Linked DNA regions of Canis lupus familiaris. The protein of the gene in region 1 purifies or fractionates together with the protein of each later gene. This does not show direct contact. Links are inferred from orthologs where the notes say so. Each region holds a gene or a part of one and is shown in the gene's direction. Other genes may lie near its edges.

Region 1 (4,262 bases):
GACATACTGATATAGTAACTAGCTCATTAAAAATAAAAGTTCCTTCTTGAAAGTATTTCTCAGTCTGCCCTGATTGCCAACCAAAAAGGCCTCATCCGGTTTCGCCCTAAATTTATGCTCAAATGGAGTTAAAATCCATTTAACAGAAAATGAACTAATTTATTTAAATGGGCTAGGCCACCTTTAAGAAGCAGTGATTCGCAGCAAGTGTTGGGGATAGGAAATTGGGTGGATAAGCTTGCTGAAGCCGTAGATCTTAGTTTCTACTTGAGATCATGCGGAAAGACTGAATTTGAAAAATTCTTTTTAGGTTGCTCATGCTAGCAATCAAATGAGTGTACACTGTAGAAAAAATGTACCACGAGAGTAGACACACATAGGGTCTTTCTATAACGTAATGAAACTAGAGTTAAAAGGCAGACTGTGGGATTGAAATCTATTCTGAACTGAAGAACTAGACGTCTGGAGTACCATATGGGGTGAACGTGTGACTCGGGCTTCGGTAAAAGCAGCGGGCTCGGACTGGAACAAGCCAAAAGGCTAGCCCAAGAGCACATTCGTCCGGGTCACGGCCACCGAGTTGAAACCCTTGCGGATTCTCCGGCTGTGAAGGCGGCCCCTCGGGTCCCTCGCTGCCCTGGGAGCCCGGGCCTTGTACTCTCCAGCCCCGAGAGGAAGAGAAGGCAGGGGCGAGGGAGGAGCCAGCCCAGGGCGGACCTGCGACGAGCGGAGGAAGCGGCTCAAAGGGGCAGTCCTGGACCTTGGAGAGGACCAGGTTAAGAACTGGAGGTATACTGCGGAGGGAAGGCGTACTCCAATCGCCACACCATCTTTGCAGTTAAACCAGGAACCGTAGAGGGCAGATTCAGTACTTCCCCGCAGGGCCGCCTCCTCGCCCCCCCGCCCGCCCCTTCAGCTGGAGCTGAGAGTAATTCATACAAAGGAGGACTCGCTTCAGCCTCGGGGAATCCCAGGGACCGTCGTTAAACTCTCACTAACATAGAACGAGCGGAAAGCTCGTCCCCGCCTCCCCACCCACTCACTCTCGCCGTCATCGGGGTCAAGAGGAGCATGCGCGAGGAGATGTGCGCTCTTTAGTGGGCTGAGCGCACATCGCCCACGGTCCCCGAGCAGTAGGGGGAGGGGATGGCGACCGAACCGGTGCCTGATGGAGTTGGCGCGGGGTAAACTGGGAAAGTGGTGTCGTGTGCTGGCTCCGCCCTCTTCCCCGAGGGTGGGGGAGGACCGTATATAAGTGCCGTAGCCGCCTTGAACGTTCTTTTTCGCAACGGGTTTGCCGCCAGAACACAGGTGAGTGCCGGGTGTGGCTCCCGCGGGCCTGGCCTCTTTGAGCTGCCAGCGGCCCTCGCGTGCCTTTTACAACGGCCGCGCCACCGAGCCACTTTACGATGTTCTTGACCCCGAATTTCGGATTGTGAGTGGGTGGGAAGGTTCCAGGCCTTGCGCCTTTTTTTAGGACCCCTTTTGCCTCGTGGTTGGTTTGAGGCCTGGCTTGGGTGTTGTGGCGGCCGCGTGCGAATTCCGCCGCACCTTCTTGCCTGCCCTCGTACAGTGGTTTAAGCCTCCAGACGTTTGACCTACCAAAAGAAGGCCGCTATGGTTTTCTCCGTCGAGATGGTTGAGCGGAGGTTGGTCAGGACTTGAACGGGGTGGGCTTTTCCGCGGTCGTCGCGTTCTTGGGGTGTGGGGCCGCCGCGAGGCGCGGAGGGCGGCGACGAGGCCCGCTCGTCCCGGCGCACATGTCCGACGAGGCGGGGAAGGCCCACGAGCCGTGGGCGCCGCGTCGGACGCGGGAGAGTCCCGTGGAGTGGGCCGGGCGGCTCTGGTGCCGGGCCTCGCGCCGCGATGTACCGTCCTACGCCGGGCGGAGAGGCCGGCCCGCTCGGCACCAGTTGCGTGCGCGGAAAGATGGCCGCTCTCCGGCCCTGCTGCAGGCAGCTCAAAATGGAGGACGCGGCGGCCCGGGAGAGCGGGCGGGTGAGTCACCCACACAAAGGAAAAGGGCCTTTCCCTGTTAGGCCGCTGCTTCCTGTGACCCTACGGTGTACCGAACGCCGTCTTGGCACCTCCATTCCGCCTCAACGCCTTACAAGCAGGCCTTCCCCGGAGGGGGGAGGGGATTTTATGCGGTGGAGTTAACCCCACGCTTGGTGGGTGGAGACGAGAGTTGGGCCAGCTTGGCCCTGGTTGTAATTCTTGGAATTTGGTCTCTGCGAGTTTGGTCGTGGCTTATTTTCAAGCCTCCGGGACAGTAGTTAAAAGGGTTTGTTCCTACCCTAAAATTTAGGTGTCGTGAAAACCACCGCTAAACCTAAACCAAAATGGGAAAGGAGAAGACTCACATCAACATCGTCGTCATTGGACACGTAGATTCGGGCAAGTCTACCACTACTGGCCATCTGATCTACAAATGTGGTGGGATCGACAAAAGAACTATCGAAAAATTTGAGAAGGAGGCTGCTGAGGTTGGTATACTAACTTAATGAGAGATCGTTAAAAAAAAGTCGGCCAGTGTCAACTTCCCCAAAACTAGTTACTAGTCTATCAGAATCTGCTGCTTGTGGTAGATTGTTTGTGCTTGCTGAAGAGTTTTTTATCTATGTAACTTTGGGAGATAGAACTACCTAACTGTAAAGTGGAATCCGCATTTCTGCTTAAGCAGGAGTTAGGGATTTCAAGTTGGAAGTTTGTGTTTAAGTTACCAAGTAACCATTCTTAATCCTTACAGATGGGAAAAGGCTCCTTCAAGTATGCCTGGGTCTTGGATAAACTGAAAGCTGAACGTGAACGTGGTATCACCATTGATATCTCCCTGTGGAAATTCGAGACCAGCAAGTATTACGTGACCATCATTGATGCCCCAGGACACAGAGACTTTATCAAAAACATGATTACAGGCACATCTCAGGTTTGTAGGATTACTTGAAAATAACTGTAGGCTTGGGTTTTGTATGGGAAAAAAGGGGGAGTTCATCTTTTTGAGGAACATTTATTTAACAGGATGTCTTTTTGTCTTTTAAAGGCTGACTGTGCTGTCCTGATTGTTGCTGCTGGTGTTGGTGAATTTGAAGCAGGTATCTCCAAGAATGGGCAGACCCGTGAGCATGCCCTTCTGGCTTACACACTGGGTGTAAAACAACTAATTGTTGGTGTTAACAAAATGGATTCCACTGAACCACCCTACAGCCAGAAGAGATACGAGGAAATCGTTAAAGAAGTCAGCACCTACATTAAGAAAATTGGCTACAACCCCGACACAGTAGCATTTGTGCCAATTTCTGGTTGGAATGGTGACAACATGCTGGAGCCAAGTGCTAACGTAAGTGACTTCAAGGCTTTGAGGAAGTGATAGAAGAGGCATATGTTGACACTAAATGACAACAGTTTGGGGAATGCTAATGGACAATCTTGTTTTTTTAGATGCCTTGGTTCAAGGGATGGAAAGTCACCCGTAAAGATGGGAATGCCAGCGGAACCACACTGCTTGAAGCCCTGGATTGCATTCTGCCACCAACTCGTCCAACTGATAAGCCCTTGCGTCTGCCTCTCCAAGACGTCTACAAAATTGGTGGTAAGTTGAACATTGCCATTTAAAAATACGATTTATGGATTGTTCTTCACAGAAGGTATCTGACACGATGCTTCTAAATATTTTAGGTATTGGTACTGTCCCAGTGGGTCGAGTGGAGACTGGTGTTCTTAAGCCTGGTATGGTGGTCACCTTTGCTCCAGTCAATGTTACAACTGAAGTAAAGTCTGTTGAAATGCACCATGAAGCTTTGAGTGAGGCTCTTCCTGGGGACAATGTGGGCTTCAATGTCAAGAACGTATCTGTCAAAGATGTTCGTCGTGGCAATGTGGCTGGTGACAGCAAAAATGACCCACCAATGGAAGCAGCTGGCTTCACAGCTCAGGTAACACACTTAAGAGTGGCAATGTTCTCTTTGCTAGATCCTGTTTGAAATGTATTAAATGCAATTTTTTCCTCCAAGGTGATTATCCTGAACCATCCAGGCCAAATCAGTGCTGGATATGCACCTGTGCTGGATTGTCACACAGCTCACATTGCCTGCAAGTTTGCTGAGCTGAAGGAAAAGATAGATCGTCGTTCTGGAAAGAAGCTGGAAGATGGTCCCAAGTTCTTGAAATCTGGGGATGCTGCCATTGTTGATATGGTTCCTGGCAAACCTATGTGTGTTGAGAGCTTCTCTGACTATCCTCCTCTGGGTAAGAATGATTTA
Region 2 (4,387 bases), on another chromosome or scaffold:
AGCTACTGGAGGGGAGGGACAACCAGGACATGCAGCATTGGCAGAGCAGAGGCCTCAAGGCCCTGATGCTGATGCAGCCAGAGAAGGTTTTTGGGCTGAGACAGGGAAGGGAGTGTTGCTGTCCTCAGTGAGCTGGCGCTGTGCCTTGTGGCACCGAGTGTGGCAGGGGCGGCGGCGGGCCCGGCGACGCTTGCAGCAGCAGACCAAGGACAAAGGTGGAGGCACTGCTGGCACAACAGCATGGCTGGCGATTGAGGCTCAGGTCACCCAGGAGCTGGGAGGACCAACCGGTGCAGCACAGCGGCCAGAGGCTGAGCCACTCCTGACCTTTGTGGCATCTGCCTCCCAGGCTGACCAGACTCTCACCGTGACCCCAATCCAGGATTCTCAAGGCCTGTTCCCTGATCTCCATCATTTCTTACAAGTTTACCTCCCTCAAGCACTTCGAAACCTCCTCAAGTGAAGACAGGGACCCTAATGGGCAATAAAGCTGCTAGTTTAATAAACACTAGAGTTTCCTCTAATTTCCACCTGGTAGTAATCCTTCCACCCACTACTTGCCCTCCCCAGACCTACTGCTCTTCTCAGACATGCCTTTTTTGGCCACCCTAAAATAGGTCTGGGCCTATTTGCTTCTTAGCATTTATCACCACCTGCAGGGAGGCCTAAATGTGGTGTGTTCCTGCACCCGGAGCCCGCTCGGTAGAGTTCTTGAAGGATGGAGTGCCAGGTGGGCGGCTTGGGCAGTACCTGGAACAAGAACCGAGTTTGCCTCCACTTTACCTTACCGCCCAGATTTATATGGTGACGGCCTGAAATCGGGGTTCAGGGTTCTTTGTCCATTCTCTCACTTAACAGAGTTCATCCTGTTCTGATTAAAACGGGGAAAAACACTGTCCGACCTGAGCGTGGGTAAAGGGGTGTCCATCATCGGTGAACTGGCAGCCCTCTGCAGGGTGGCGGGAGGCAGGGATCCGCTGTGTTCTCCCTCGGCCCTTCCCGGCTGCAGGCCCTGCACCAAGGCCCTACCTGCAGCGATTGCATCCCGGAGCCCGCCGGGTGGTTTAAACGGAGGAGACCTCACTTTGGTAGAGGGGTTTCTGACTTGGGCTCCGGTGAGATCATCCTCCTCTCCCGTAGAAAACCAGAGCGGGAACAAACGTACTTAGGCACACAGGACTGGTTTCCGCCCCTAGTGAGAGTCCCCCAGTCCTGACGTTAGGGGCCTGGAAGGATCTCCGTCAAGTCACCGCGGGTTTCCGAGCTGGAGGGGAACGCCCCTGGGACCTGGCACGGCGCGGAGTTGGCAGCCGTGCCACGTCGCCGGGAAGAGGAGGCTTTCCAGCTAGTTCTCGGTTTACCCTCCGCGCCTCGCACCTCCAAGCGGGACTCCCATTGGCCTCCGTCGCCTGCGGGGCGGGCCAGTCAAGAGTCGCGTGGCGCAGGCGCGAGCTGTCCCTGTGACGACCAGCAGGCCCCACCCCCTTCTTTCTGCAATTCAGCCGCGGCGGGGTGTAGAACTGTCGTGCGTATGCCTTCTGTGCCGTCCTCGCTTTGCGGCTGCTGTTCCTCCGCGGCTCTCCCCTCCCCCCTCCTCTCCCCGACGGCTTACTTTGCGGCAGCGCCGAGCGCCCCACCCCCTTTCTCTGCGGAATCACCATGGCGGCCGGGGTAAGTTTGCCGGCTCCGGAGATCCAGGTCGCGGTATCCGACGCCATCCTCTGCCCGAGTGGAGCCCTCCGGCGTCAGAGAAGTTCTGGAGCCGAGCGAGGGACTGGTCCTGGGTCTGGAGACCGTACTGTTGGGAGAGCAAGGCTTCCAGGCCCCGGCGGGGAGCTGAGGCTGGAGCTCTTGGAGGCCAAAGAGGTGGAAGGGTCTGGGGCAGAGCGGCCAGGAGATGTCGGATCCTGGTCTTCTGGGGCCTGAGAAGGGGGTTCGGGTTCACTGCCGCCTCGGGACGTGGGATCCGGGCAGGTTGACAGAACTTTTGCGACCGTTTTGTGGGGGAGCAGCAGGGACGGGGCGCAAAGGAGGGTCTTTGTGGGCAGGCAGGGCGGTCTCCGGGTAAGGGTCGTGCGGCGGGGAGGTGTGGGAGGGAGAGGGCTCTCCGGGCGGCGGAGCCAGACCGTGTGGCCGGTTAACAGAAGGAGAAGCAACGGCAGAACTCACTGCGGGACAGGACCGGAGGGACGAAGGGGACGCAGGACGGGAAGGAACGGCTCTTGGGGGAGACCGAGTTGGTTTAGGAGGAGAGGATGCCATTCGATTTCTCCGTGGCTTTTCGGAGGGGAACTTGGAAATGGTCGTGTGTGTGTGTGTGTGTGTGTGTGTGTGTGTGAGAGAGAGAGACAGACGGGGAGTGATGCTTTCGAAGGGGGTGAGCGGCTCAGTCGTAGAGTAGGCAGGTACTCGTTAGCCATCAATGAATGAACCAGAGCTCTAGGAAGGGAGGAATGTGTCGGCAGGTGGAGTCTGAGGGAACTACGAGTTCTGGGTTTCTCCACGATATATTGGAGGAGACGAGAATGCTTCTGGGGATGTCCTTAGGGAAGGTCAAACCTGTCAGCGCTTTATTTAGCAGTTGGTGTGTAGTTCTGTCTTGGGCATTTCAGCGGACTCTGATTACACATGGCAGATACTAGAGAGCGTGGTTCACCAGGGGGAGTAAAAGTGAGTTGAACAGATTGGGAATAACTCCGGGAATTTATCCCTGGAAGTGACATTTCCGACTGAGAGCCTCGTGCTCATTAACGTTCCCTCCCCTCCTTTCACCCACAGACCCTGTACACATATCCTGAAAACTGGAGGGCCTTCAAGGCTCTCATTGCTGCTCAGTACAGCGGGGCTCAGGTCCGCGTGCTCTCCGCACCACCCCACTTCCACTTCGGCCAAACCAACCGCACCCCTGAATTTCTCCGTAAATTTCCTGCCGGCAAGGTGAGTAGAAAAGTGGAGAGGGGTCTTTGGTCCTGAGAACCCAGGGAGTCCTGAGATGGTCTCAGTCTGAAAATGGTCTCCACCTTTAAAAGGGAATTTTCTGTATAATTTGCTCTTTATATATTTCAGTGATTTAAAATTCCTTTGAGTTAAGTGAAGATTCGCACATAGTTAAAAACGATGCAGAGCTGTTCAGTGGCTTGTTATAAAATTCGCAAGTTTCTTTGTATTTGCGGGAAAGAGAATGGGTTTTGGCTGTTTTCAGCGCAAATATATCGAGTATCTGCCATGAGCCAACCAAAGGGCTTATCGAGGTCGATAAACAACCATGCTAAACAGAGAAGAGATAAATGCAGTTCAGGGAGCACCACAATACTTTCAAGAATACGGAGAGAGATGACACTTGGTTTTTGGTCTTTTGCATATTTGATTGAGGGATTTTATATAAACAGTTGATAATATTTAAATCTTTGCGGTTTCTCATGTGAGTTCACATTGTAAGGGATACCAAGTTACTTAAATTTTATTTCTGGTTCCTAAGTTTCAGATTGTAGTAGTTCATATCAGTAGTTTGCTTAGTAAGGATTGTCAGCCTTATGTAAGAACTTTATCCCAGTATTGGCTGGTGAGTAATTCCTGATTGTTTTACCTAACGTTTTTTTTTTTTTTTTTTTTTTTTTTTAATTTTATCTTTTGACTGTTTTATCCCAGGTTCCAGCATTTGAGGGTGACGATGGATTCTGTGTGTTTGAGAGCAATGCCATTGCCTACTATGGTAATTTGCAGTGGGTGTGGGAATGGGAAGACCAGGAATGAAGGAGGTAGGAGAGGATGAGGGTGAGCTGTAGTGGACAGGAGAAGAATTTTTACGGACTTGGATCGATGTTGGCCTGACCCCAAAGTTCTGACCTTTGTGTTCTGCCTCTGCAGTGAGCAATGAGGAGCTGCGGGGAAATACTCCAGAGGCAGCAGCCCAGGTGGTGCAGTGGGTGAGCTTTGCTGATAGCGACATAGTGCCCCCAGCCAGTACCTGGGTGTTTCCTACCTTGGGCATCATGCACCACAACAAGCAGGTAAGCCTTGGAACTTGGGGAGAAGCCAAGGCCCAGGATGAAATCAGCTCCTGAGTGTCAAGGAGCAAGAAATAAAATAGATTGAGAAAAGGAGATGCTAAGAATTTGTGGATAATAAAAGACCTAATCTTTGGGGTATGAGTTTGGAGCACTGCTGTTGATAGTGTCTGGGTTCTTTGTTACACAGACCCAGTTGGAGGTGGTGCCTGTCATGAGTGGTCAGAGGAGAGATTTCTGTTATAGAAAAGCTATCCCAAATGGTAGGGGAGTGGTTACATCAGGTGACTTCTAAGGTTCCTTCTAAAATTCAAAGATAAAGGACTAGGTCATATAGTGGGAAATTAATCCAGACTGCACCATGAGGAAATTTGACCTTG
Region 3 (4,266 bases), about 34 Mb from region 1:
AGGAGGCCTTGCAGCAGAAACAGTGATGGTTCCTTCTCCCTTCCCTTTCCCTCTTCTGTTAGTGACCTTTCACCTCAAGTCACAGCCTGGGATTCCTCCCTCCCATATTTGAGGGGGATTTTTTTGGTCTTTTTTTTGTTTGTTTTTAAAGAGTGGAGGCTTTTTCTTTAAGGGATGAGTGGATGAGAATATTAATAGTGGGGAGTAGCTCTCCTCTGTTGAGGAGGGGACGATAATAGGCTAGGGAACTGCAAAGCCTGCCTTGTCCTCAGCACCTGCCTTTCTCACTCCTTCCCTGGATATGGCAGGAGAATCTCCTAGATCTCTCCAGGGCAGCATGTGATTCATTTGGGGGATGGAAGGAATCTGTCCCGCATCGGGAATAAACTTATGATGCACATTTGAGTTCTGGTTCTGTGTGTTTTGGGAAGGGGCCCGGAGGGTGAATTCATCTAAACTCTGCTCCTTTATTACCGCAGTTAAGAATCCCGCCCAACTTCCCAGCATTATCTGTCATTCTTCTCCATGGTGCACATCATAATACCTCACCTGGGCTACACCAGGTTTCTTGAACATTCCCCCACCCGTGTGGCCTGCCTACTGTGGTCTTCCTGCACTGGACCCACAAGGAGAACTTGCTGCCTTTCCATCTCTGTCCCGTTCACCTGACAGTTAATCTTATGAGACACCAAAGTGCATTTGCTGCTGCTGGATTGGTTCCTGAACCCAGCCAGATCACTACACTCTTTTTGAATATAACAGATCAATGCAAGTGGTATATATTTTTTTAAAGATTTATTTATTCATCAGAGAGCGAGAGAAAGGCTCCATGCAGGGAGCCGGATGTGGGACTCGATCCTGGGACTCCAGGATCACGACCCAAGCCAAAGGCAGCTGCTCAACCGCTGAGCCACCCAGGCGTACCCAAGTGGTATATTTTTATTGCGGAGTTAGGACTGGGAACTAACCGGCTCACTTGGCAAACAGGAGTCTCCTCTAGAGACGAGTTCTCAGCACCAAAGGAGCTGACGGCCGGCAGGCGGGACGCCTGCTTCCGGGGGGGGAGAGGCCTCGGGAGGAGGCTGCGCGCCCCAGGCCCCCGCCCGCCGCTTCCCGGGCTGCCCGCTGGGCGCCGCCCTCGCTCCCTCCCTCCCTCCGCCCCTCCCGGCCCGGCCTGGCTCGAGGACCCGCGCGGGCTGCCCGCGGAGGCGCCTGACGGGAGCGGGTCCGGGGCGCTCCCCGCTCCCGCGCCCGCGCCCGCGCCCGTGTGCGCCCTCGTGCGCCCTCGTGCAGCCCCTCGGGAGCGCGGCGGGCGGCGCGGCCGCGAGGGCTGTCGGCGGGCATCGCCCCCGCGCAGGCGGAGCACGGCCGCCCGCGCCACGACCCGCGGGCCCGGAAACGCTCGTTGTCACAAAGGGGGACACGTGGGCGCGCACGGCCGGCGGCGGTGCAGGGAGCCGGGGGCGCCCCGAGAGCCGCCCACCTCGGCCCCGGCCGCAGGTGGCTGTCCGGCTCGGCGTGACCGCCTTTCTCCAGTACGTACCCGCGGATCCCGAGGGGCAGCCCCGGGCGCGCGCCGTTGTGGAGCCAGGCCCTGGGCTCCCGAGGCCGGGTGGGACCTCCGGCCCTGGGGGACCCCGCGGGGTCCCCTCTGCTCGGGTCGCTCAGCCGCCCCCGTCTCTCTGCCCCTAGGTCTCCCTCCACGTCGTTCGGACCCCGGCGTACCCATGTCCGTCCTGTACGTCTCCCCTCATCCCGACGCCTTCCCCAGCCTCCGGGCCCTCATAGCCGCGCGCTACGGGGAGGCCGGGGAGGGCCCGGGCTGGGGAGGAGCCCACCCGCGCATCTGCCTCCAGCCGCCCCCGACCAGCGGGACCCCCTGCCCCCCACCGCGTCTGCCCGCCCTGGAGCGGGGGCCCGGCGGGCTCTGGGTGTGGGGGGCCACCGCCGTGGCCCAGTTGCTGTGGCCGGCGGGCCTGGGGGGCCCCGGGGGGAGCCGGGCCGCCGTGCTGGTCCAACAGTGGGTCAGCTACGCCGACACGGAGCTGATACCGGCCGCCTGCGGAGCAACGCTGCCCGCCTTGGGACTCCGGAGCGCTGCCCAGGACCCCCAGGTGAGCGGGACGGAGGAGGGGAAATGCAGAAGAAGAAGATGAGAAGGGGTAAGGAGCCCCGGAAGGGCGCGGGCCAGGCGTGGAGAGACTCTGAGCAAATCCCCGGTGGTCATCTGCAGTGATAACCTCGGCAGGTCTCTTAAATAGCCTTGGTCTTCGTCTTGGAAAGTGGAAGTTTTCCTGTTGAGGAACACGCTGAGATGAGAAGAGCTGTGCGGAGCGCCGACTGGTGCTCGGGGTTCTAGAGTCTGGGAGGAGAATCGAGGAGTGGAAGGCAGCGGAGGTGGAGGTTACTGCCTAGTGGGTTGAGGGAGGGAGGAGTGGCGGGGTGCTGGGGATGGAGGAGAAGGCAGGGAGAGCAGAGAGTGCGCTAGCAGGTTGAGGCGGTTGAGTGCAGGTTGAGGCACTTCCAGAACCATCACCTCCTTGCACAGTTTTGAGCACATGGTGGATCGTTAGTATTCTTTGAATGAATGAATGAATGAATGAATGAATGAATGAAAGCAATGAATCCCTGGTTTACACCCTGGCTTGCTCCCTCATGTCCTACTTACACCGCCTACCATAGAGGGCCCCTCTCTGGAATGCCTCATCTCCCTCAGCCTGATTTGTTTTTCTTCACAGCACTTACAGAGAAAAATAGGGTGATGTACTCTATATTTGCGCATTTATCGTCTCCCCCGCTGAAGTGTAAACACTGGAGTGTGAACACGAGTCAGGGTCTGCTTGTCTCCACATTCCTTAGAGAAGTGCCTGGCCTGTATAGGTGCTTAATAAACACCTCTGGAGGCAATAACTGTGTTGCCTCATGCAGTCTTTAACTTCTGGTGCTTAACATATTCATGTGACACATAGTAAGTGTGCAGCAGGAATCTGTTGAACAAATGGAAATATTTTTATTATGACCATTTGGCCTCAGAGGTGGTGATTTTTGGGAGCGGAAGGACTCGTGGATTGAGTGGGTTACGGGATGGGGAAATGAGGTGGGCCAAGCCTAGTCCCTTACCCCTTCCCTTTCCCCATAGGCTGCCCTGGGGGCCCTGGGCAGGGCCCTGAGCCCCTTGGAAGAGTGGCTTCGGCTGCACACCTACCTGGCTGGGGAGGCCCCCACACTGGCTGACCTGGCAGCTGTCACGGCCTTGCTCCTGCCTTTCCGTTACGTGAGTCACAGGGGCCTGGAGAAGAATGGGGACGTGCAGCTCCCATCAGACCTCACTCTAAGGTGATTAAGGATATTTTATTTCTTTTCACCGTCGCAGGTCCTGGACCCTTCTGCCCGCCGGATCTGGGGTAATGTGACTCGCTGGTTTACCACATGTGTCCAGCAGCCAGAATTCCGGGCAGTGCTGGGAGAGGTGGTTCTGTACTCAGGGGCCAGACTCCTCTCTCAACAGCCAGGTGAGGAGGGTTAGGGAGGGAAGGAGGCGTTCCTCTGGGCCTTCTGTGGGGCTCATGTTCCTGACAGAATCGCTAGGGAAGGACCCTGAGGGTGGGGGGGGGGGGGGGGGGGGGGAGGCCAGCATGGGGAGCCCTTGGGCCGCTGGAATGGCCCGAATGAAACAGTAGTATGGTTCACAGAGGATCCCCAATGGGCTAAGCTGGCGTTTCTGTGCCTCTGTCCAGGCCCCGAGGTCCCTGCACCCCCAAAGACGGCCTCTCAACTCAAAAAGGAGGCAAAGAAACGGGAGAAGCTAGAGAAATTCCAGCAGAAGCAGAAGACACAACAGCAGCAGCCACCGCCGGCGGAGGTGAGAAGCTACGGGGAAAACTAGAAGGTTGGTGCCCCAGTGGGTGGATGACCTCCCTGCCTCTATCTTTTCCCTCCCAAGCAGAAGAAACCAAAACCAGAGAAGAGGGGAAAACGGGATCCTGGGGTCATTACATATGACCTCCCAACCCCAGCTGGGGAAAAGAAAGGTATGAGAGGCGGGAAGGGACCCCCCTCCTTAGCTGCTGCTGTCTTTGGCATTGTCCCTTCCTGCACTGCCCTTGCTTCCACTTGGCTTTGGAGGATTTGCACAGCCCCCCGGCTGCTCCCAGTCTCAGACACTGCCCCCTCCCCGTCTCTCCCCCAGATGTCAGTGGCACCATGCCCGACTCCTACAGCCCTCAGTATGTGGAAGCTGCCTGGTACCCATGGTGGGAGCAGCAG

What was found.
Region 2: the proteins of EEF1A1 (region 1) and EEF1G purify together in Homo sapiens (affinity purification with mass spectrometry; 5 studies listed by BioGRID and IntAct, counting the BioPlex papers as one, with this or other methods). This does not show direct contact. The link is inferred for Canis lupus familiaris from reciprocal best matches to the Homo sapiens genes EEF1A1 and EEF1G.
Region 3: the proteins of EEF1A1 (region 1) and VARS1 purify together in Homo sapiens (affinity purification with mass spectrometry; 3 studies listed by BioGRID and IntAct, counting the BioPlex papers as one, with this or other methods). This does not show direct contact. The link is inferred for Canis lupus familiaris from reciprocal best matches to the Homo sapiens genes EEF1A1 and VARS1.

Annotation. Positions count from the first base shown.
Region 1 is NC_049233.1:35,820,392-35,824,653, reverse strand, and holds the start of EEF1A1 (elongation factor 1-alpha 1), read left to right. Parts: upstream 1-1,374; intron 1,375-1,489; coding exon of another isoform or gene 1,490-1,598; intron 1,599-1,661; coding exon of another isoform or gene 1,662-1,762; intron 1,763-2,308; 5' UTR 2,309-2,342; coding exon 2,343-2,486; intron 2,487-2,749; coding exon 2,750-2,929; intron 2,930-3,043; coding exon 3,044-3,340; intron 3,341-3,441; coding exon 3,442-3,592; intron 3,593-3,678; coding exon 3,679-3,935; intron 3,936-4,013; coding exon 4,014-4,248; intron 4,249-4,262. Other genes in the region: uncharacterized protein LOC119874198, read right to left, coding at 472-717, 1,044-1,374, 1,490-1,598, 1,662-1,762. UniProt on the Homo sapiens protein: Translation elongation factor that catalyzes the GTP-dependent binding of aminoacyl-tRNA (aa-tRNA) to the A-site of ribosomes during the elongation phase of protein synthesis.
Region 2 is NC_049239.1:54,579,620-54,584,006, forward strand, and holds the start of EEF1G (elongation factor 1-gamma), read left to right. Parts: upstream 1-1,512; 5' UTR 1,513-1,659; coding exon 1,660-1,671; intron 1,672-2,778; coding exon 2,779-2,937; intron 2,938-3,648; coding exon 3,649-3,712; intron 3,713-3,867; coding exon 3,868-4,010; intron 4,011-4,387. Other genes in the region: TUT1 (speckle targeted PIP5K1A-regulated poly(A) polymerase), read left to right, coding at 1-463. UniProt on the Homo sapiens protein: Probably plays a role in anchoring the complex to other cellular components.
Region 3 is NC_049233.1:1,403,199-1,407,464, reverse strand, and holds the start of VARS1 (valine--tRNA ligase), read left to right. Parts: upstream 1-1,391; 5' UTR 1,392-1,535; intron 1,536-1,692; 5' UTR 1,693-1,727; coding exon 1,728-2,114; intron 2,115-3,139; coding exon 3,140-3,274; intron 3,275-3,373; coding exon 3,374-3,512; intron 3,513-3,737; coding exon 3,738-3,862; intron 3,863-3,943; coding exon 3,944-4,031; intron 4,032-4,189; coding exon 4,190-4,266. Other genes in the region: U6 snRNA-associated Sm-like protein LSm2, read left to right, coding at 1-26. UniProt on the Homo sapiens protein: Catalyzes the attachment of valine to tRNA(Val).